Linked DNA regions of Caenorhabditis elegans. The protein of the gene in region 1 purifies or fractionates together with the protein of each later gene. This does not show direct contact. Each region holds a gene or a part of one and is shown in the gene's direction. Other genes may lie near its edges.

The links. Proteins that work in one complex are often made in the same cells at the same time.
Region 2: the proteins of snr-4 (region 1) and ddx-15 fractionate together in Caenorhabditis elegans (co-fractionation; one large-scale study listed by BioGRID). This does not show direct contact.
Region 3: the proteins of snr-4 (region 1) and prp-9 fractionate together in Caenorhabditis elegans (co-fractionation; one large-scale study listed by BioGRID). This does not show direct contact.

Annotation. Positions count from the first base shown.
Region 1 is NC_003283.11:11,976,286-11,982,908, reverse strand, and holds snr-4 (putative small nuclear ribonucleoprotein Sm D2), read left to right. Parts: upstream 1-3,185; 5' UTR 3,186-3,212; coding exon 3,213-3,220; intron 3,221-3,270; coding exon 3,271-3,444; intron 3,445-3,575; exon of another isoform or gene 3,576-3,596; intron 3,597-4,047; coding exon 4,048-4,222; 3' UTR 4,223-4,401; downstream 4,402-6,623. Other genes in the region: rpt-1 (26S proteasome regulatory subunit 7), read left to right, coding at 515-590, 637-740, 786-1,016, 1,064-1,606, 1,820-2,173; MIF-like protein mif-2, read left to right, coding at 4,505-4,558, 4,654-4,722, 5,432-5,494, 5,538-5,597, 5,761-5,859, 5,952-6,032; cpr-1 (Gut-specific cysteine proteinase), read right to left, coding at 6,212-6,534, 6,581-6,623. UniProt on the Caenorhabditis elegans protein: Plays a role in pre-mRNA splicing as a core component of the spliceosomal U1, U2, U4 and U5 small nuclear ribonucleoproteins (snRNPs), the building blocks of the spliceosome.
Region 2 is NC_003281.10:5,586,939-5,595,438, reverse strand, and holds ddx-15 (Pre-mRNA-splicing factor ATP-dependent RNA helicase ddx-15), read left to right. Parts: upstream 1-3,720; 5' UTR 3,721-3,732; coding exon 3,733-3,788; intron 3,789-3,843; coding exon 3,844-3,940; intron 3,941-3,987; coding exon 3,988-5,575; intron 5,576-5,627; coding exon 5,628-5,988; intron 5,989-6,029; coding exon of another isoform or gene 6,030-6,030; exon of another isoform or gene 6,031-6,042; coding exon 6,043-6,160; 3' UTR 6,161-6,377; downstream 6,378-8,500. Other genes in the region: ucr-1 (Cytochrome b-c1 complex subunit 1, mitochondrial), read right to left, coding at 1,308-1,372, 1,439-1,568, 1,619-1,829, 1,882-1,999, 2,051-2,108, 2,158-2,400, 2,445-2,644, 2,694-2,910 and 2 more; F56D2.2 (RBR-type E3 ubiquitin transferase), read right to left, coding at 6,378-6,581, 6,630-7,014, 7,063-7,161, 7,210-7,301, 7,349-7,462, 7,511-7,663, 7,715-7,993, 8,048-8,176. UniProt on the Caenorhabditis elegans protein: Pre-mRNA processing factor involved in disassembly of spliceosomes after the release of mature mRNA.
Region 3 is NC_003280.10:8,521,397-8,528,722, reverse strand, and holds prp-9 (Matrin-type domain-containing protein), read left to right. Parts: upstream 1-3,326; 5' UTR 3,327-3,328; coding exon 3,329-3,472; intron 3,473-3,521; coding exon 3,522-3,680; intron 3,681-3,747; coding exon 3,748-4,274; intron 4,275-4,325; coding exon 4,326-4,587; intron 4,588-4,646; coding exon 4,647-4,832; intron 4,833-4,877; coding exon 4,878-5,102; 3' UTR 5,103-5,229; downstream 5,230-7,326. Other genes in the region: gldi-7 (Sodium/potassium-transporting ATPase subunit beta-1-interacting protein), read left to right, coding at 171-403, 459-927, 1,129-1,251, 1,331-1,813; mrps-18B (28S ribosomal protein S18-2, mitochondrial), read right to left, coding at 2,035-2,418, 2,480-2,560, 2,604-2,662, 2,762-2,855, 2,936-3,034; cht-2 (GH18 domain-containing protein), read right to left, coding at 5,286-5,455, 5,502-5,862, 5,904-6,452, 6,504-6,573, 6,625-6,999, 7,041-7,138, 7,197-7,304.

The DNA of each region.
Region 1 (6,623 bases):
TTTTTGACAACTTTTGGACTCATGAGAAAACCAGGAGGATATGTAGTCGCTACAAGTTACAATTTTTCCAGCTTTTTCATTTGATATTAAAGAATAAGTGTATGCTATTTCATATTCTATACTGTACAAAGAATGCTAGTATTCACTATAAAACATTTAGCGCAGGCTGGTTACAAGATTTTGCCAGCAGACGACAAATCTCCACAATGTGAAAAAGTTTTAGTAAACTTTTCAAGAGCGCCCCGAGGACATCTGAAATTCCTTTTCACTAAATTTATATACAAAAAATACATTTTTTCTTGCAGATGAATCATTTCTTTTGTTTCTCAACTTGACATACGAATATTTTTCATAAATTTCATTCTCCCGCGTGAAATGCTAACGCGCTCTATCAGACAGACGACACGCGACGCGTCCGGCGACACTGAAAAATCATCAATTTTCAAAAGAGATTCTCATTTCAAAGCTTTTTCCATATTCATTTCTTCTAAAAATATTTGTTCGTTTGCAGAAAATGCCAGATCACCTTGGAGATGACATGCGCAAAACTAAAAAAGATGATACCAAGGAGGAAGAGAAGAATTTCCAGGGTATGTGGATATCGTTCAGGAAACTAATTCTGAAAATTGAATTTAGCTCTCGACGAAGGAGACATTGCTGTTTTGAAAAGATACGGGCAAGGTCCATACGCGGAACAGCTCAAAACATTGGACGCGGATATTGAAAACTGTCTGAAGAAGGTATTTATTTCATCGTGCTCCTAATTTTATTTCATTGTTCTACAGGTGAACGAACTTTCTGGAGTGAAAGAATCAGACACCGGGTTGGCTCCACCAGCTCTATGGGATATTGCTGCTGATAAACAAGCAATGCAGCAAGAACAGCCTCTCCAAGTTGCCAGATGCACAAAAATTATCACCAGCGACAAGCACGATCCGCGTTACTTGATCAACGTAAAACAGTTCGCTAAGTTTGTTGTAGACCTTGCTGATTCCGTTGCACCTACTGATATTGAGGTTTGAAATTGTAATTAGATTTCACACATAATTGAAAAATGATTCAGGAGGGCATGAGAGTAGGAGTAGACCGTAACAAGTATCAAATTCATCTTCCGTTGCCCGCCAAAATTGATCCAACCGTCACAATGATGCAGGTTGAAGAAAAACCAGATGTAACATATTCGGATGTCGGAGGCTGCAAGGATCAAATTGAAAAGCTTCGAGAAGTTGTCGAGACTCCACTTCTTCATCCCGAGCGTTACGTTAATCTCGGAATCGAGCCACCAAAAGGAGTTTTGCTCTACGGTCCACCAGGAACAGGAAAGACGCTTTGCGCTCGTGCCGTTGCCAATCGAACAGATGCTTGCTTCATTCGTGTTATTGGATCAGAGTTGGTTCAGAAATATGTCGGAGAAGGAGCTCGAATGGTTCGTGAGTTGTTCGAAATGGCTCGTACCAAGAAGGCATGTCTTATCTTCTTTGATGAAATTGATGCTGTTGGAGGTGCTCGTTTTGATGATGGACAAGGAGGTGACAATGAAGTTCAACGTACTATGCTCGAGTTGATTAACCAACTTGACGGATTCGATCCACGTGGAAACATCAAGGTTTGTCTTTAATTCTTTATGGAAATAACCCAAAAAAATCTGTAATATAAATTTATTTATCTCTTGCTTTCTTGAAGGCAGTTTATATCATTAGTTCAGTCCTTTCATCCAAAAAAAAAGACACACATTTTTCGTTTGATAAGTTTCCAAAAAATTAATGCTTACATGTATTGTAAATATGAGTGTTTCATTAAAATAATTTGATATTTTCAGGTGCTTATGGCAACAAACAGACCGGACACTCTCGATCCCGCTCTCATGAGACCTGGTCGATTGGATCGTAAAGTCGAATTCGCTCTTCCAGACCTTGCAGGTCGTGCTCACATTCTCAAGATTCATGCAAAACAAATGAGCGTTGAAAGAGATATTCGTTATGATTTACTTGCTCGTCTGTGCCCAAACAGTACAGGAGCCGAAATTCGCTCAGTCTGCACCGAAGCTGGAATGTTTGCAATTCGTGCTAGAAGAAAGGTGGCAACTGAAAAAGATTTCCTTGAAGCTATCAATAAGGTTGTCAAGGGATATGCCAAATTCAGCGCCACTCCAAGATATCTGACACATAATTAATTGTACCCTATTCGGTTTTCATTCTCTTTCCGGTCCTCGATTAACTTATTTTCGCCCGTCCACCCATTTTTTTTTGTACAGATTCCCCATGTCTCCGATTTTTGTCTTATTTATTACATCCTATCGTCGTGAGATGCACCCAAGTTGGCCCAACACTGTCAGATGTATTCGTTTCGATTTTATGGATAAATGTGATTGGGTTTCTGACTATTAAAACTTGTATACACCAGTTTAAATGAATCTGAAAACGTGCCATAAAACCTTTTCATAAGAAGAGTAGTAATCTAAACGCGATTACGGTGTAATGCCAGAAAAAGTAAGAATAGAAGAAATTGGCAAGCGTATTTTAATGGTACTAATATTGTGCACACTTTACCTAGGAATATATTTTTCATCTCTACAATGTTGACTAGCGCCCTGAATGCTCCAAGGATACTGTTTTCCAACTAAATGTTCAACTGTTCAGTATTTATATTCTGCCTCCTAGAGGCGTTCAAAAATTGCGTATGCCACCCATGTTTCAGGGGACATCGCGGGCAATTGGGAAAAGTTTTCAACCAGCAATAAACGCACCTCGGCAAAGCCTCATTGGTCACGTTATCGCCCCAGCGCAAAGCTAAATTCAGCAGCTCACTCAGCTGATCCTATAAAACACAGCAACCGACAAATCGCGGCTTTCGCGCACAATGGTGCTTTCTGCATTCTGTATTCTTCGGAATGCGGCGCGTGTGCGTTGCGGTCGTCTTTTTCGAATTGCAATCGCTCGCGGTTTATCGGAGTCTCTCTGTTTTCTTGAAACGAATCTCTTCCCTTCGATTAAAACTGCATAAAAACTAATAAAAATCTCAAAATTGATTTTTCTTCTACTTTCTTAAGATCTGTAAAGTTTCGTTCCTCCGAATTCCTCTTTATGATTATTTAGAAAACCTCGCCCAATACCTTATTCTTCACTCTTATCGGTATTTTTTACATGAAATTATCATTGATTCTCAGCTAACCAATTTAATTTCAGGGACTTCTATCAAAATCAACTTTGATCATGTCGGCGTGAGTTCACATTGTTTTCATTGACCAGTAGTTTAAATTTATTTTTACAGCCAAGCCAAACCCCGTTCAGAGATGACTGCTGAAGAACTCGCTGCAAAGGAGGACGAGGAATTCAATGTCGGACCACTCTCCATCCTCACCAACTCAGTCAAAAACAATCATCAAGTTCTCATCAATTGCAGAAACAACAAGAAGCTTCTCGGAAGAGTTAAGGCTTTTGACAGGTTAGGTTTCTTAGAAATACTATTAAGTAAAAACTCACAAGTATTTGTCGGTAGTAAACTTCAGACAACATTTTTTAAAGAAAAGTGTTTCAAAAATAATATTTGAATCATCGATAGTGAACGTATTTTGGTTGTCGTCTCGATGCTGTAGCAAAATATCATTTACTATATATAATGCATTTATTCCGTTTGTCCATAGTTTGTAGTCTGTGAAGGTTTGGCTTAGTGTAGGGATATAGTCGGGGTACTGTAGTGGTACAATAGTGGTACGGTAGGAGTACTGTATGATTATGGTAGTTTCAGAAAAATTAGTTTTCAGCCCCAGAAGTCGGGGCAGCGCCAGAGGTGCGGTCCACGGCTGGTAGATTTAATAAAACGGCACGATCCTCCTGTGCTGTAACAAATTGTCGTGGCATCAAATTATTCAAACACGTATTGCTACGATTTCCAAAGGGAAAACACAAATCTTACACTAATATAAGTACTTTCTCATTTGCCGTAACTTTCGTGTCCCGCAAAGCATGCAAAATTCCAAGAGGAGTTTTCTACTATTGTTCGTATAAAAATAATTGGAACGTATAGTCTAATTCTTTACTTTTTCAGACATTGCAACATGGTCCTCGAAAATGTGAAGGAAATGTGGACTGAAGTGCCAAAGACTGGAAAGGGAAAGAAGAAGGCAAAGTCTGTCGCCAAAGATCGTTTCATCTCAAAAATGTTCCTCCGCGGAGACTCCGTCATTCTCGTCGTCAAAAACCCACTGGCACAAGCTGAATAATTCACCTTCAGAAAATCTCCCAATCAGTACGGTTTTCTCGTATTTGTTATGACACCTTACAATTTTCGAAATTTTCACTCTTGTTCTTCCCCCTCCCGTTCACCCTGTTGTTTCGTTTCAATGATCATCATTTTCCACTTTTTATTTATTGATAAACGTTCCTATTTAATACCACAGTCGTGTTTTTTTCTGAAGTTGAATCCGTATCCTCGCGGCAGATGATTTTTGTAGTTCTGCGTGATTGTTGCTTGAACTTGAAACCGGTTTTTCGATTTTTCGTCGATGTTGACTGTCAGTGCTATCAGAATATCATCGTCTTTCGTCTTCAAAGTTCAGGTTACTATTGGTCGTTATTTTTTGAATAAAAACGCTATATTCCACGTTTTTCATGAAATGTGATTTATTGCCATATTCCAAAAAATCAATTTCAGAAACGAAAAATGCCGATGGTCAGAGTTGCGACGAATCTACCAAATGAGAAGGTTCCTGTTGATTTTGAGGTTTGTGTTTTAATCAAACATTTTCTAAACGACTCAACAAACACTGAACAGTCTAGAGAAAATTTGTAGAAAAAAACAAGTATTTTAAGAGAAACAAATATGGTTCCCGGTCTCGACACGACGAGTTTTTTCGTTGCGAGAAAGTGTGCGCCTTTAAAGATTACTGTAATTTTATACTCGAGTTTCTGCAGAATTCTTAAAGATTTTATATAGTTTTTCTCACAATAAGTTTTTCAATGAAAATATTTTTAACGAAAAACTATGAACAATTGATGAAAATTCCTCAGCAAGGGAAGTTTAAAATTACAGTACTCTTTAAAGGTGCACACCTTTTTTTTTGCATTTTACAAGCACCTGTCGTCTCGAAACCAGGTACAGTATTTTGGGACCACAACTTGGCAAAACAGACATGTTTTTGAAAAATAATATTAAGACAGTTCAGACAAATTTTTGAAATATTTTATATTCAGTTTTCGCATCCACAATTTCGGAAGTTGACCAAAAAGTGGATTTTCTACGAATTTTTGATATTTTAATAATTTTCCGTTTTTCTAGAGTATTGTACGGTTACAAACATGAACCATTGTTCCAAATTCTCAAAAGTCCCGAACTTTTCGTAGCGCCAATTTACCAAAGAAAACTTTCAAAAATCTGAACAAATGCCAACTTCACATAGTATTCCTTTTAAAATGTGAATTTTCAATTTAAGATTCGTCTCACCGATCTTCTTGCTCGATCAATGGGAAAACCAAGAGAGAGAATTGCTGTCGAGGTATATTAGTAATCTTTAGTAATTATTAACTTTAAAGTTTCAGATAGCCGCCGGTGCTCGTCTAGTTCATGGGGCCACTCATGATCCTGTGACCGTAATTTCGGTAAGTGACTTAGGAACACTTTCCAAAAGTAACACCTTGGTAAACCAAAACCTTTAAAACTACATTTAAGTTCCTTGTTACACTTAGAAAGGAAATTAAAACTTTATGAAACCATCCTTTTTCTGGCAGAAGTTCAAAATTCTCGCAATAATAAATTCTTTAGATCAAATCAATCGGAGCAGTGTCTGCTGAAGACAATATTCGCAATACGGCAGCCATCACTGAGTTTTGTGGAAAGGAATTGGGTCTTCCAAAAGATAAGGTAAGTGTAGTTTATGTCAAACATTTAAGTCACAAATATTTCGTTATGTTTTATTAATCAAACAATGGATTATTGATATTTCAAAATTTCAGGTTGTTATCACATTCCACGACTTACCACCAGCTACGGTAGGGTTCAACGGTACAACTGTCGCCGAAGCAAATAAGAAATAATTTTTGATGTCAGTTGTTCATAATGTGACTAGATTAATTTTGATTTCATGCACTTTTGTAATTGCTCTTCGTAAATTTTAATAAAGATATATATATTTCAGAAGATTTAAGAACAAATTTAAATTATGAACATTTTTATTTGGCAGATGGTAATTACAAAAATTGTGTACATAATGCATTTAGACCTTGGCCTTTCCGGCGACAACTGCTGATTCAATTCCGCATTGATCATCTCCACGGTAGATCTTGAAGAAACCGCTCTCTCCCCAGTTAACTCCCCATGAGTTGGCAACAAGCCAGTATGGAGATCCGCTCTCAGTTCCCCATCCGATGATCTTAATGGCGTGTCCTCCGAGGTACTTTCCGGCGGTGTGCTTGTAAACTCCGCTCTTGTATTTGTAGAAGTCTTCGTAAACAGAGAATGCAGCCTCAACTGGTCCATTAGCGTAGATTTCAGCTTGGATGGATGCAGCATTCTTTGGAACAGCGTAGGCAGAGACTCCTGAAATAATATAATTATTCCACAATTCTATGTAATTTTTACAAACCGAAGTGCTTGTCCTTGGCGTAGGCAGTTGAATATCCAGATTG
Region 2 (8,500 bases), on another chromosome or scaffold:
TAAGTATAAACTTAGAAGTGGTACATAGGAGAGACGCAGATATGTCATCTTGTTGGGGTGAAAATTTTGAGAAATTCTGAAAGAATGTACTTGGAAAAAGAATTGAAATATAGTCACATGATATTTTATTAATTCATCGCAAGAGAAGAGAAAGAAATGAAACTTGTGATCGTCAAAGTGAAAATTGAAAAAAAACAAATTGAAATGTTTTTTGGACTAGAAAAAATTCAATCACGGGCTTTCACATAATATCCAGACAATTTTTGGACCAATAATTCGATAAATGTTCTCGACACGACAAATTTGTGCTAAATACGAGAAGGTGTGCTCCTTTAAAGAGTACTGTAGTTTCAAACTTTTGTTGTTCCGGAATTTTCATTTAATTTTAATGGTTTTTCGGGAAGTTTTTTTTTTAATTTAAATTTAAGTTGATCAATCAGGAAGTATGTTTTCATCGAAAAATCGTGAAAAACTGACAGCAACAAAAGTTGAAAAAACAAAGGTGAAACTACAGTACTTTTTAAAGGCGCACACTCGTGAACCAATAACACGACCATGTGTCGATTTACGCAGCTCGTGTACTTCTCGAGGAGAAGTGGGAATTCAGTATTCTACAATTTTACTGTTTCCTGTTAAAATTCTAGACTTTGGATCATTTTCGCTGATTTTTATTGAAATAAAGAATTACTAATTACTACTTGAAATGACAGTTAGTTTTTTTTTCAAGATTCGAAAACTTTCAGGTAAGAAATTAGCTGTAAAATGGAACGATGCTATTATTATTTAACGCCAGTCACCTATATACAGAAAGTTTCGCGTAAAGTGGGGTTCAGTAAGCGGATAGCCTCGGGTGAGGCTGACAATAAGTGTGCGAACGTGGTCAAGGCCAGTCAACCGGTGGACAAGAGATGCAATGGATCGGTCGGAGACGCAGATATCTTTCCGTCCAATTGGGAGTGGTCTTGTTGTGTTTTTTTTTTTGCATCGGGGGAAAATTGAGGGCGCTGATTTGATGGGCAGACAATCTCATCAGGAAATCATTCAGATATTATAATTCTGCAGAAAATAATCGAGCAGATATACATTTTCTGGCACAATTCGTCAATTCATTCATTTTACTCCGAACCGTACAAACAAATAACGCTACTCTAAATTAAAATTAATTTTTGGAAAAAGAAAATAAATGAACAGCAAAAAGTTTTCTAAAAAAGTGTATCTGACAACAGATAGAGAGAGAGAGAGACGGTGAACGAACAGCGAAAAGTACATAGGGAATCCGAGATGAGGAAGACGTCATCGTTCACTGCTTACATTCTCCACCACGACATACCAGCGCGAGTAAGGGCGTAGTTGGGGAAGGCTTCTGTGCGACCTAGAAAAGAGAAATTGTTTGCAATTCTCATAATGTAAAAACAACAGCAAGTGGAAAACTACTCACCAACTCCGACAGCAGCAAGATCACGATCGTACACATGTCTTGAAATAGCCTCGCGGACAGCTCCAGCGTCAACCTTTTGAATTTGAGCTTCAAGTTCTGACAACTGTCTGAGATTTCCGGTGTAAAGAAGCTGAAAATAATGAAATAACTATCCATAGCATTTTCTGCAGAGTAACAAACCTCCTTAGCGTTAAATCCAGCCTTTTGTGTGTTGGTCTCGAGGTTCTGGTACAAGTTGGTTCTGAATTGGTTCTTGGCCATGGCGACTTCTTCTTCTGTGGCAGCAGAGGCCAAATGCTTCCATTCGTGAGCAACAGACTTCATGATTCCGCTGGTGTCGTTCAAGTCGTGAGCATCAGCAACAAAGTAGATTCCGAACAATCCAGTGTCTCTGAAAAAAAGAAAATAAAAATTTAAATAAGCTTGCAAAAAAAGATACTTACTTGTAGTTGATGTTGAAATGCTGGAGGTTATGGACTCCGTGGTCGTGTCCGATTTTTTGGACAAGTCTGGAAGCAGCTGTTCTGGATGTAGCGTGGGTCACATCCCATTGGCCTAAAACTCATCAAAATTACGGTTTGAATTGAAAAATTCACACAAAAGCCAACTTACCAATGAATTGATTGGCAATTTGAAGAGCGAGAGCATCTTTGTGGGCATATCCAACACCCTAAAAATGAAGTAAAATGAAAGACTGAACACACATTTATTATTTGTACCTCAACAGCGAAAGCAGCATACATGTGTGGGACATTATCGTTGCGGTATCTGTATTCAGATCCGGTGAATCGTGTTCCATCGACCTGTGGAACCTTTCGTGGGTATTCGTTGCTCAAGTCTCCGAAATATTTATCGGCGAGGCTTGAAACATTGGAAACTCCTCCTCCGACAGCGGACAGAACCATGCGCACTGGTCTGTAATGATCCTCTTGCCACTCCTTCAATTGTTGAGCAGAGATATTCTGAAAAAATAATCAACTTTATGTAAACCCAAATAAATACTTACTGGAATGCTCTCACTGGTTCCGAGAACGCTGAGAGCGAGTGGGGTGCCTTGGAATCCGGCAGCGTGGAGCATATCGAAGAGGACAAGCTGATGATAGTCATCGGAAGCTTCGAGCTCTTTGAGAAGATTAACTCTTTCGGTATCGATGGTTGAGGCCTCAAGCTTGCTGTTGCGGAGAACATCGGCGAGGATATCGACAACTGAAAATTTTGGAAAATTAACACAATTTTATAAGTTACAAATATTTACCTTTCTCAACATCTTGAGCTCCAGCTTGGACAAAAACTGCGGTTTGGTCACGCTCAGTGAACGAGTTGAGTTTTGCTCCGATAGCATTAAGCTCGGATTCGAGAGCAGCAGATGCTCTCTTTCCAGTTCCCTTGTGGATCAATCGCTCGAGGAAATGTGCGACACCGTTGTTCTTCTCGTTCTCAAAACGAGATCCGGTCTCGATCCAGACTCCCACCTACAATTTAAAACAAAAGAAATTTTAGAAAACTAGTGGGCAAAATTACGGTAGCGGTGGCGGATCCATTATCTTCGGTGACAACACGGAAGCCATTCTTCAAGGTGGTAACTTCAGCTTGTGGAGCGCTGGCAAGCACGTCCTTCACGGAGACAGCTGATGAAGCATTGCGAACCTGAAAATTAATTAATTTAATTAGATTTTCTACATTATCATCGTTGTTACGTTCTCCATGCGACCTGTGGGCATACAACTTTCAATTTTATTTTCAATTAAGAGTTTTTATTTCTCTTTTAGCAATCTCACAAGAAAATTACCTGGCTATTGAGAGCCGGACGCAAAGCAGAGCTGACGGCGAGTCTGAGAGCCATTCTCTCAAGTTTTCCCCTGTTCTCTGAAAATAAAAATATATAAATAGGATATTAATCGATAGATAAAAATTCAGAGAACATTATTTTAAATTGAAAAACTTGAAAAAATATATCTGAAACTCGAAAAGAAGCTGAAAACAACTAAAACCATCAAGCCGCCCAGCAGTGCAGAGACGCAGACAGCGGAATCGCTTCGAGACCCACCGAAAGTTTAAAGGCGCACCCGTAAATCGCTCCATACTTATTCCGAATATATTCTGCGAAATTCTGTCTTTTGTTCCCAATATCTCTATATTTGCTGATTTTCTCCTTTTTCAACTAGTTTTCTTAATTTGTCATACATTTAATCCATTTATCCTGCGCGTAGCTTTTCGAAATACCTAATATTTTCGTATAACGCTTTATAAAGCCACTTGAAACTCTAATTTTCCTATTGAAGGAGAAACTTGCGATGTCTTCGAGACACCGATTGGATTTAGATGGCAGCGGACGCGGAGACAGAAGAAGGTAAGTAAAATTGTTGCTTCCCCAGTTCAATATAATAATAATAATTTATTTTCAGATCTCCTAACCGCAGATCCCGATCCCGCTCCCGATCGCCACACAGACGCTCCTCCCCCGACCGGAAAAGACAGATTGGGGCAGTTGGAAATATGAAGGTATTTTTTAGTAAACGAATTTTTGTTTCTCATCTCCAAATTTACAGATCCAAATCAATCCATACAACAACCAGCCATTTAGTAACCGATATTGGGCAATTTGGGAGAAAAGAAGTCAATTGCCAGTATGGGAATATAAGGAAAAGTTTATGGAGCTGCTCCGGAACAACCAGTGCATCACTCTTGTCGGAGAAACGGGATCCGGAAAGACCACGCAAATCCCACAGTGGGCCGTCGAGTTCATGAAGCAGCAGCAACAAGGACAACCACCCGGTCAAGCGAGATTGGTGGCTTGCACACAGCCTAGACGGGTCGCTGCGATGAGCGTTGCGACAAGAGTTGCTGAGGAAATGGACGTAGTTTTGGGACAAGAAGTGGGATACAGTATTCGTTTCGAAGACTGCATCAGCGAACGAACTGTTCTCAAATACTGTACAGACGGTATGTTGCTGCGAGAAGCAATGAACAGCCCGCTCCTCGATAAGTACAAAGTCCTTATTCTCGACGAGGCTCACGAAAGAACACTCGCCACAGATATTCTTATGGGACTGATCAAGGAAATCGTGAGAAATCGAGCTGATATCAAGGTCGTAATCATGTCCGCTACATTGGATGCAGGAAAGTTTCAAAGATATTTCGAGGATTGCCCGTTGCTCAGTGTTCCCGGAAGAACATTCCCTGTTGAGATCTTCTTCACTCCAAATGCGGAGAAAGATTATCTAGAAGCCGCGATCAGAACTGTAATCCAAATTCATATGGTCGAGGAGGTTGAAGGTGACATTTTACTGTTCCTCACTGGTCAAGAAGAGATCGAAGAAGCTTGCAAAAGAATAGATCGTGAGATTCAAGCCTTGGGAGCAGATGCTGGAGCACTCAGCTGCATTCCGTTGTACTCTACACTTCCCCCAGCAGCACAGCAGAGAATCTTCGAACCAGCACCACCAAATCGACCGAATGGAGCAATCAGCAGAAAGTGTGTCATCTCTACAAATATCGCTGAGACATCATTGACTATTGATGGCGTTGTCTTTGTTATCGATCCTGGATTCTCGAAGCAAAAAGTGTACAATCCAAGAATTCGTGTCGAGTCGCTGCTTGTTTGTCCCATTTCGAAAGCTTCTGCTATGCAAAGAGCTGGACGCGCCGGAAGAACAAAGCCAGGAAAATGTTTCCGGCTTTACACCGAAACGGCTTACGGATCAGAAATGCAAGATCAAACATATCCTGAAATTCTTCGGTCGAATCTCGGATCTGTTGTGCTGCAGCTCAAGAAGCTCGGAACCGAAGATCTTGTGCACTTCGATTTCATGGATCCTCCCGCACCAGAGACATTGATGAGAGCGCTGGAACTGTTAAACTATCTTCAGGCGATCAACGACGATGGAGAGCTCACTGAACTAGGAAGTCTGATGGCTGAGTTCCCGCTTGATCCTCAGCTCGCAAAGATGCTTATCACATCCACTGAACTCAATTGCTCAAATGAAATTTTGTCGATCACAGCAATGCTCTCGGTTCCGCAGTGCTGGGTTCGTCCCAATGAAATGAGAACAGAAGCCGATGAGGCGAAGGCTCGGTTTGCACATATTGATGGAGATCATCTCACACTTCTCAATGTCTATCATTCGTTCAAGCAGAGTAAGTTGACTTTGTTTTTCTTTTTTTCAAATATTAGTTTCGCATATTTCAGATCAAGAAGATCCGCAGTGGTGTTACGATAACTTCATCAACTACAGAACTATGAAAACTGCCGACACAGTCCGCACACAATTGTCGCGTGTTATGGACAAGTACAATCTTCGACGTGTCTCAACAGACTTCAAATCTCGAGACTATTATCTCAACATCAGGAAAGCTCTTGTAGCTGGATTTTTCATGCAAGTCGCTCATCTGGAACGAAGTGGACACTACGTGACGGTGAAAGATAATCAGCTCGTCAACCTTCATCCATCCACAGTTCTCGATCATAAGCCGGAGTGGGCACTCTACAATGAGTTCGTGTTAACCACAAAGAACTTCATCAGAACTGTAACTGATGTGCGCCCTGAATGGTGAGTTAATTTGCAAATTATATTATTCAAAACCTAACTAGATATGCGTTTCAGGCTACTTCAAATCGCCCCTCAATACTATGATCTCGACAACTTCCCAGATGGAGACACGAAACGGAAGCTGACTACTGTGATGCAGACCCTGCAGAGAAACGCTGGCAGAGGCTATTGATGCCTCCGAATCATCTGATCTCATTTCCCCAAACCTCTTTTATCCCTATTGCCCCTTGTCAAATTTTTTGATTGTTTCTATTTATTTTTTGTTTATTTCTTACCCCTTTCTTTTAATTCTATTTTCACTTTTAAATCAATCACCAAATCTAAAAGGATGAACTATTCATTTTATTTGACAATTAATCCGTAAATTTAGAGAAAACCGTAAAGTTATGTTAATTAAAGAAAAGCTCGTCAAAATGTCCTTCTTGCTCTAACCAATCCTCCGCATCAATATCTTCGTCGGATTCAGGATACTCGACGGTCTCATCACTGTCATAGTCACTACCGTCGTTAAATGCCATATCGAAAAGAAGATCGTCATCGTTATCTAGCAAATCGTGATGAACTCCTTCGAACAGACGTCCAGAGCATGATCCCTGAAAATGAAAAATACATTTCTTACACAATTCTAAGAAAAAACCAACATCTCCCTGAAAATGCTTATAAGGATCTTCCTTGTCAAGAGTTTCAGAGCACAACCAACAGAAGTAGGTGTCACACTTCGTACAGTGCATCTTGTGGCATCCTTCATTCTTCTCTATGCTCACCGAGCACTTGGGACACGGTTTGCTGTTCGAATCCAGCCATTCCTCATTGAGGAACCGCTCCACAAGCTCCTCGACACGCTTCTCTCCTCCAAATTGCCTGCACATTTCAGCCTTCTCAGCTTCATCTCCATCCTTCCATCTTTTGACAAGAAGCTCTTTGTCTCCTTTCTTCCATTTGCAGCGTTCTATTCCGTGGAATGTCTGCTTACACAGATTGCAGAACGAAAAGTTACAGTAGGAGCATTCGGCCAGGAAGCGTTGTCTGAAATGTTCTTCTTTTTTACATTTATTTTTATATTTTAAACTATACCTATCCGTGACGTAGGCGACTTTTTGACAATTCTCTCTGGGACACTCCACGGTGTCTTCCATCTCTCGAATCGCCTTCTCCAGCATAATCGTCTCGTATCTGGCGGAAATTCAAATTTGGATTTTTTTTTTTGGAAATGTATCTCACTTTGCATATAAATCATCTCCGAGTGCCTCCTTAACCGTATTTTGTTGTGCTTCACTCTTGCATCCTTCTGCTAGACACTGCATGGCTTTTGACTGTAAATGATCCAATTTTTCCAAAAAAAAAATCGATTGGATCTTACCACAACACCTTTCGATATTGTACGATAATAATCGAAAGTACATTGTTTGCAGAAAACGTGAGAGCACGGCTGGAATTTGATGCAATGTTGGCCCATTTGAGAGTCGTAGCATACCTGGAAGATTGAAAAAATAGTATAATTTTATAACTACGAAAAAATTACTTCACAATCGAAAAGTGTATTGACAAAGTGCTCTTCAGCAGCTTCTTCGCCTTTTCCAAGAATTTTCTTTTTCAGCGATTCAATAGTTTCTCCATTGTTTTTCAGCGCACACGCCTCGTTCAGATTGATGATTTTTAGGTGAGATTGGTCTATCTGAAACTTATTTTTATATATTTAATTTGTTAAAAAGAACAAAAAACTAACCGAATCAATTATCGTTTGATAGCACATAAAAAGCACCTCCATCATCTGGTTTTCCTCGCAAATCCTTGCCAACTCGGTTTCACAAGATGTCATTTGTTCCTGATTCATCCAATAACTTTCCAGTTCAAGTTTTGGTGATGATACTGAGGGATAATCATTTGGAAGATGAAATTTCAATCGGATTGGTGGAAGAATGTCTAGGGGGATGGAAAAATGATCGCTGGAGTCAGACGTTCCTTCAATTGTGACTTTTGGATCGGATAATGTGTCAAATCCTACCTGAAATCAAGAAAAAATTTAATAATAAACTTCTTTATACGCTCAATATTCTACTTCAATTATTCCCCGAATTTCTGCATTTTTATCCGCCCAATCACTGATTCTCGTCAATTTATTCTCCCTTAGCACACTCTCCAGTGCTTCTAGCTCGAATAACTGAGTTTCACGGCTGTCGTCTGACATCTGAAATTTAGTAGAAATTATTTTAACACAAACTAGAACAAGAAAAACTGGTATCGCGTTCAAAATGTTTAGAAATCTAGACTTTTTTAAAAGGGCAAAAAAACCGCTGAAAAAACATGCACCAAACGCGCTCCATCTGACAGAAACAAAGCGTGGATGTTCAAATTCCACTTTTTATTGGAAAGATACGAGTTTTCTAATATATTAGCGCAGAAAATCCCATATATTTATTATTTAAATAACACTGATAAACAATTGATATGCTGAGATTGATAACAACGATTTTGAATGGATTAAGGTTATATTTACAGAAGGCGAACTGAG
Region 3 (7,326 bases), on another chromosome or scaffold:
GAAAGAATGGTTTGCAAAGTTTACACAAAAATATTCATGTTTTTGAGGAAAAACTGGGATTAATGAGATTAAGATTTCCTAGTATTTCTAGAAGAACAGAAAATTTTCAGGGAAAATTGAAAGTGTGAATATCATAAATTGATAGGAAAGAACAAGTCGAATATTTTCAGATTGTCTTGCTGATCTCGGGTTTATTCGGTGCTACTCAAAAACGACGTCCACTTCTTTACACTCTCCTCTCATCAAATGCTCTTTCCGTTACAATCAATGTGCTCATTTTCCTATGGTATATCGGAGTCTTCGGAGAAATTTCAAGACCATATCTTTCGGCTGGACTACCGTACTCTTCTTCGTTTTTCTTAAGATTCACACCATATTGTGATGCCGAGTTTGATGTGATAAGGTGAGCGATTTCATTTATTCTAATTGGAAATATGAAATAATCAAATGATTTCCAGAAAGAAATGGGTTCAAAAACAGTGTCTCATTCCATTCTACTCAGTCGAAGCATCTCAAGCAATTCTTCATATTATTTTTGCAATCGTAACTTCAATTTTCTCGATCTTAGTGATTGTGGAACTTCGAAAGAAACCAATAAGATCAAATTCCCAATCAATTAACCATTATGCTCAAATATGTGCATCAAAAGTTGCCAAAGCTCCAAGTTCCACGAATAATTCTAGCAGTGGATACCTCAATTCACAATATGACGACTTAGGATCTTCGAGAGAAAAAGTGAAAGTGACAGAGAAAAAAGAAGTCAAAGGACAATTCGAGAGAAATTCAAAGAAGAAGAAAAAGAATCCACGTCCAGAAATGCCAGCTCCAGATTGTGCTCCGTGTTCTTCAAATAGATCATCAGAAGAAGAAAGTAATTTGGAGGATGTGTACACACAGCCAATTAAAAAGAAAATTATGCCGTTGAGAGTAAGTTTGTTTGTTTTGAATTGGTTAAATGTTTCCATTTTCTATAATTTTATACATGATTTTCAAGTCGTTTTAGGTAGAAACTTTTGGCTACAACTTTTGAAAACTTGATGGTTAATTATTAAATTAGTACAAAATGGTTACTGTAGTCATTTAGTTGAATAAAATATTTCATTTCACAACTGCTATATTTTCTTTCAGAGACCTGACCTAGAAGAAGAAAATCGTGGAACTAATGTCACATCATTAGTCAGCTTCGACCCAAAAAGTGCGACTCTTTTGCGAATACGTCAGCATTTGGAGGCAGAGCCATCTGATAGAGATGTGAGTTTTCATGAATGATTTTCTATACAAAATATTTATATCAAGAGTTCATAGTTGAAATAATATCTATAATTTTCAGACGCCAGACTACGATATGTACGAACGACTCCGATCAAGATCTTCTGGACACTCTGAAGTTGCACCGGCTTCTACTATCCCTTTGAGTTCTGACTATAAATCAAGAAATGCTTCTCAAGATTCGGTTCCTTCAATGTTTGCTCCGATGCTCAACTCTCCAGCCCCATCTTCTACAACTTCTGGATCTTCTTCTAGAACATCTGGAGCTTCGTTGGCACACAAAACTCACATTGTTGGGAAAGGTGGAATTTCGTTATCAACTGTTGATCCATCCCCGATTCTTTCTCCAGGAATACGGTTATCGGAGCAACTAGGAGCCAAGAATCAGTCTTATAAAAGTGCATTCAGGGTCCAGAAAACTGAAAATGCTCGTGTTATAAGTCACTATCACGCTCCCAACGAAATTCCACTTTCCAGTGATCCATCGGTTGTTGAGAATGAATCTAACTATCCCGTGATGACTAGTGGTGGACTTCTTGTTTAATTTTGACTCAAATCTCATGTCTTGCCGTCTTTTTCTAGGCACTATATACGGGTTTATTCTTTCTTTTTTGTATTCTTTCTGCTTTTTTTAAAATAAATGTTTAAATAATTGAGCTCAATTTTTATTAGAACCAACAACAAGTGATAACAAATTACGATAGAGACCTACTAAAATTCGAAGAAAATTGCTGAAAACCGAACACGCTAGGAAAATTAAAACAATTACTTTGCCTTCTTGGCAAATTTATCATGACGAATCCACCATTCGTCCCAGTCGTTGTTCTTGTCATTTTTGAATGTTGGGAAGTGAACAAGTGGATCTGGATGAATATCTTGCAGACGTACACCAGCTCTCTCAACAGGCTTTCCAGGTTCATCTGTCCAGCTTTTGTACCATTGACGATAATCAAAGTTTCGGAATTCTACTCCAAATGTGATTGTTCCATGTTCTTTTGCTTTCAGAAGTTGTGCACGAAGTAGCGTGTACTGTTCACGACATAGTCCACTCTTCAGGATATCGATTGGTTGGTCGGTGCCATCTGCCAAAAATTGTTCAATGAGACCTGGGTTTCGGTAGTCGAAGTATAGATATTCGTCACGGCACACCTGTAATTCGTGAATTTGTTTGTTATATCTGCAAATGTTAGTTGCTGTTACAAAAACTTACTGGACAAGCATGATTTAGATTGAATCGGCCGTGTTTATCAATGCAGAAAAGTCTTGGAGGTGGTTGAAGTTTCGATTGACCCTGAATTTTCAATCAATTTATTTATTTTTCGAATTCAAATTACCTTGATGTTTCTCTTATACCATCTGTAAATCGGAAGTCCTTTGTAAGCCTCTGCGTATCCTGAAATATATTAAATAATTTAATTTTTAATTGGCATTCATGAAAGCTGTACACAAAGAATTCCTCTTATTTTGTTTTTGAAACTAAATTGAATATTACCTCGACTTTTCATATAGGAAATCTGCTCGGCAATACTGTGTTGTGGTTTGTACATTCCCTTCTTTCGTTCAACATGATTGTAAGCGTATCCGGCCTGAATATATCGATTTTTAAGTAAAATTGTTTATAAATTTAACATAGAAATTAGTTTAGTTCAAATATATTATCAGTTACCTCTTCTGGAGTCGGAACTTCTTTAGTTTTTCCTTCGCAAGCCAATCGGCAGGAAGAATGAATCAGCCTTCGTGCGAATGATCCCCCAGTGGCTAACATACCTGAAATACTGACTTAGACAACTTTTAAACAATTTAATTATATTTAAAAAGTACAAGCTTATAGCTTTAAATTACAATTAAAAACTTAAAAATAAAATAATATACTTTGTGCGTCAAGTTAAATGCGGTGTACGCAAGGAATGTGTGTTCACCGTCACGTCAAGTTGCACATTTTCGAACATCTTATTTTTCTCAAATTTTTATTCTTCTGTCTTGTTTAATCTTTTTTATGAATAGTTATTCACTAATTTAATATTTTTTAAATGTTTAGTTGTAAGAAAACTTTACAGAAATGGATTCGTGTCTAGAAACCATCAGAAACTTGCACGAGGAACGGGAACGATTAATCGATATAACTGTTAAGGAAAAAATTGCAGAAAAGTTAACGCATAAGGCCAAAGTTAATAGCGAACAGCGAGTGAAAACATTTGTCGATGTAAGAAATAACTGTTATGTTATTTCAATTCAATATTATTATTTTTCAGAGGTACTATTCAGTTTCCGCCGAGCTTGCCAAATTTTATAAAGATGAAGACGGTTCGAAGAGCATGGAAATGGATTCAGTTTCTGGTCCAAATGAGTTCGCCGAATTTTATTCAAGACTGAAGGTCATCAAAGATGCGCACAGAAGAAATCCAGACGAGGTTAGTTTTGTTATTTTCCCCGGAAACAATTAAGTTTGGTTGTAATATAATTTCTATACATTTTCAGCTTGCCGAACCACTCACCGTGGAGTTCCAAAAAATCAATGAAGAAATCATCAACCCTGAAAGAGCCGAGCCAGATATGGTTGAATTCAGTGATGAAGAAGCTTACGGTCGTTTTCTAGATCTTCATGCACAATACGACAAATTCATTAACTTGAAGAACATCAAAAGGGTTGATTACATGACGTATTTGTTGAATTTTGAGAAATTCACAGAGATACCGAAAAATACTACCAAGAAGACAGGAGCATATAAAGAATACATCAATTCCTTAAAAGACTATCTTGTTTCTTTCATGCAACGAACTCGCCCACTCCATGATCTCGATTCAGTTTTCTCTGAGGTTAATCAAACTGTAGAAAGAGCATTTAAAGCAGGGAATCTTCCTGGTTGGGAAGCTGATAAAAACAAGAACGGACCTCAAGCAGCTGCTGTGGATTTATCTCCATACAATAGTGCTGAAGAACTCGAGGGATTGGGATTGGAACGTTTGAAAGGAGCTCTCATGGCAATTGGTCTGAAATGTGGAGGGTGAGTTAAAAATATTTGGATTTTTTAATTGTAGTCCTCGTTATTTTTCAGAACTCTGAAAGAACGCGCTGATCGTCTTTTCGCTACCAAAGGGCATAAACTGTCAGATCTCGAAAAAGCAGCAATGTCTTCAAATAATTCCGATGCCGAAAAGCAGAACGCTAAAAATTTGACATTGGCACAAACGGAAGCTCATATTATGGCACTTGCTGATATTCTAGCTGAAGAACGTACTGGAACTCGCGAAAATGTCGAGAGAAAACAAGCTAGATCTGCTGGAGAGGTCGAAGAAGAGGAGGAGGAGGAAATTGTGGTAGGTTTGAATTATTTTCTCTAGTTATTTTTAGAAACATTTAAAAATTCATTTTTTAGATCGAGGAAGAGGAAGAAATTGATGAGAGTGCACCATATAATCCAAAAAATCTACCGCTTGGTTGGGATGGAAAGCCAATTCCGTATTGGTTGTACAAACTTCACGGCCTCAATCTATCATATTCATGTGAAATCTGTGGAAATCAAACTTACAAAGGTCCAAAGGCGTTCCAAAAGCATTTCAACGTAAGTTCATTATATTGGTCTCGTTCAAAAACTTGATATTTGCAGGAGTGGCGACATTCTCATGGAATGAGATGTCTTGGAATTCCGAATACCTCTCATTTCGCCAACATTACGAAGATCAAAGATGCACTGGATTTATGGAATAAATTGAAAACCGAAAAGGAGATGGCTAAATGGAATCCGGACATCGATGAGGAGTACGAGGACTCCAGCGGAAATGTGGTCACCAGGAAGATGTATGAGGATTTGAAAAGACAAGGACTTCTGTAGACGCTATTTTATGTATTCCATTGTTCTTCTAAGTTATTTTTTTTCCTTTTTAATCTTACATTTCTGTAAGTTTTTAACCAATTGGTCTCATTTTTCAAATTTAATGGATAAACTTTTTTGTAATTTTAGTACAATTGAAATAATTTATCGGTATATACAGTTTCAGATAAGTAGTGAGAAAGTTTAATACTCAAATGCAGGATTTGCCTTGAAATCAGCACATCCTAAACAGCTACAATATTGTTCTCCTTTTCCGCAATAGCCACTATTACTGCAACAGTAGGATTCAGAATCCGGATCACATTTTGGAATTTTTCCAGTAGAAAGTCGTGGAGCATTGTAACCACAACGACCTGAAGATATATTCTTATAAGTTGAATTGAGGGCCTGTTCCCTCACCAACGTTGGCTGGATTCTCAGAAAATGTCCACCATTCTAATGGTTTATATTTGAAATCTCTCTGTTTTGCAAAATCAATACATCCATTACATTCACAATGTTCCTTTGAATTTCCACAGTAACCTCCATTACTACAACAATGAGCATTAGCATCATCTGGATTACAAGTTGGCGCTTCTCCTTCTAAAGGTGGAACATCTCGACCACATCGTCCACGTTTCCCTTCTCCAGCATCCGATGTGTACCATGTGATCTTTTGGCTTGGTTTCACTGGTTCTTTCAAAATTAAATTTGGATCTGCACCATAGTCAATACATTCAGGACAAGAACAGAATTCTGCACCGGAACCGCAATAGCCATACTGCAAAACGGTATTATGAAGCCTTTCACGGTGGTACTAACCTTTCCACAACAAGCATGACCTGGATCATCTGGATCACAAACGGGATAATATCCATCAATCAATGGAGACGATTTTCCACACATTCCAGCCAATTCCTCATTATCATCATATGTCCACCATCTTTTGTCGTCTACTGGAGAACACTTGTAGTTGAATGACTTTGTTGATGTGGTACAAATAGATTCAGCTGCAGCAGAGTTCAGAAGGGTACCTTGATCATCATCAAAGTCAATTGCCCATATCATAACTCCTCCAATATTATTTTCAACTATATAATCAACTTTATGTTTGAGACTTTCAGCATTTTCATATCCAACAAAGGTTTTTTGTTCAGAAAGCCAAATGAATGGGGTTTTGGATCCAGAATGAAACTTGGTTTTTGTAGTATCAAATTTCTCGTGCAGATCTCTCCATTGAACATCTCCACCTTCAAATTTTGTGCCTTCTGAATTAGTTGCCGTAGCAGTTCTCCACATATCATCTGTTGAGTCAACAGCATCACCCACATTCTTCCAGAAACGACCATAGAATGGGACACCCATATTTATCTGGAAGTTGATTAACGGTTACGGTAACTCAAATACCAAAATGTTTCTTACCTTATCAGTTGCTTTTATTTGGCAACTGTAGTCTTTCATCGTGGCATGTACGTTCATTCTTCCAGAGAATCTAAAAAATTATTTCGTTGCTCTTCGCTTCCCCTTACTAATTTTAGCTCACTTTTTCGGCATAGCAAACTGTAATGGTGCTGGGGGTCCAGTGTATGCACCCCATTTCGAAGCCCATGCTCCAAAATAATCATAACTCATAACATTCACAAAATCACAATATTTCATCAATTGTTGTAGATCGTATCCTGGTTTCAAGACCCAATGTCCTGCTGCTCCAGCGAACGATATGAGATACGACTTTCCTGTTTCGGATTCCAAATCTCTCAACTCATTTCGAAGTTCTCTCATCAAGTTTACATAATTCCTTCGATCAGCTGGAGTACCCTCAACAGCACCGCCTGTTACGGGATATTCCCAGTCAATATCAACACCGTCAAAACCGTACTCTTTAATAACTTTGACAAAGTTCGAGATTAAAATTGATCTGAAATTTTATGTGTTTTCTAGATCACGCCTTTGACACACCTTCTAGAGTGATCTGCAGTTAAAACGGAAAAATATTGAGAGTTTTCCCAGCCTCCAACAGCGTACAAAAGCTTGAGATCTGGATGACGAGATGCAACCTAAGATATCAAATATCATTTTAAAAACCTATAACTTTTAAATAGTTTTTGACAATACCTCTTTAACATGTTCCAATCTTGCTTTTGCAGCATCTCCTTCCAACTTGACACTTCCATCTGAATCGACGACGAAGAAGGCGAAAACTAAGTGTGTCAGCTTTTCAGCCTTAATTTGAAAGTGTTAACTG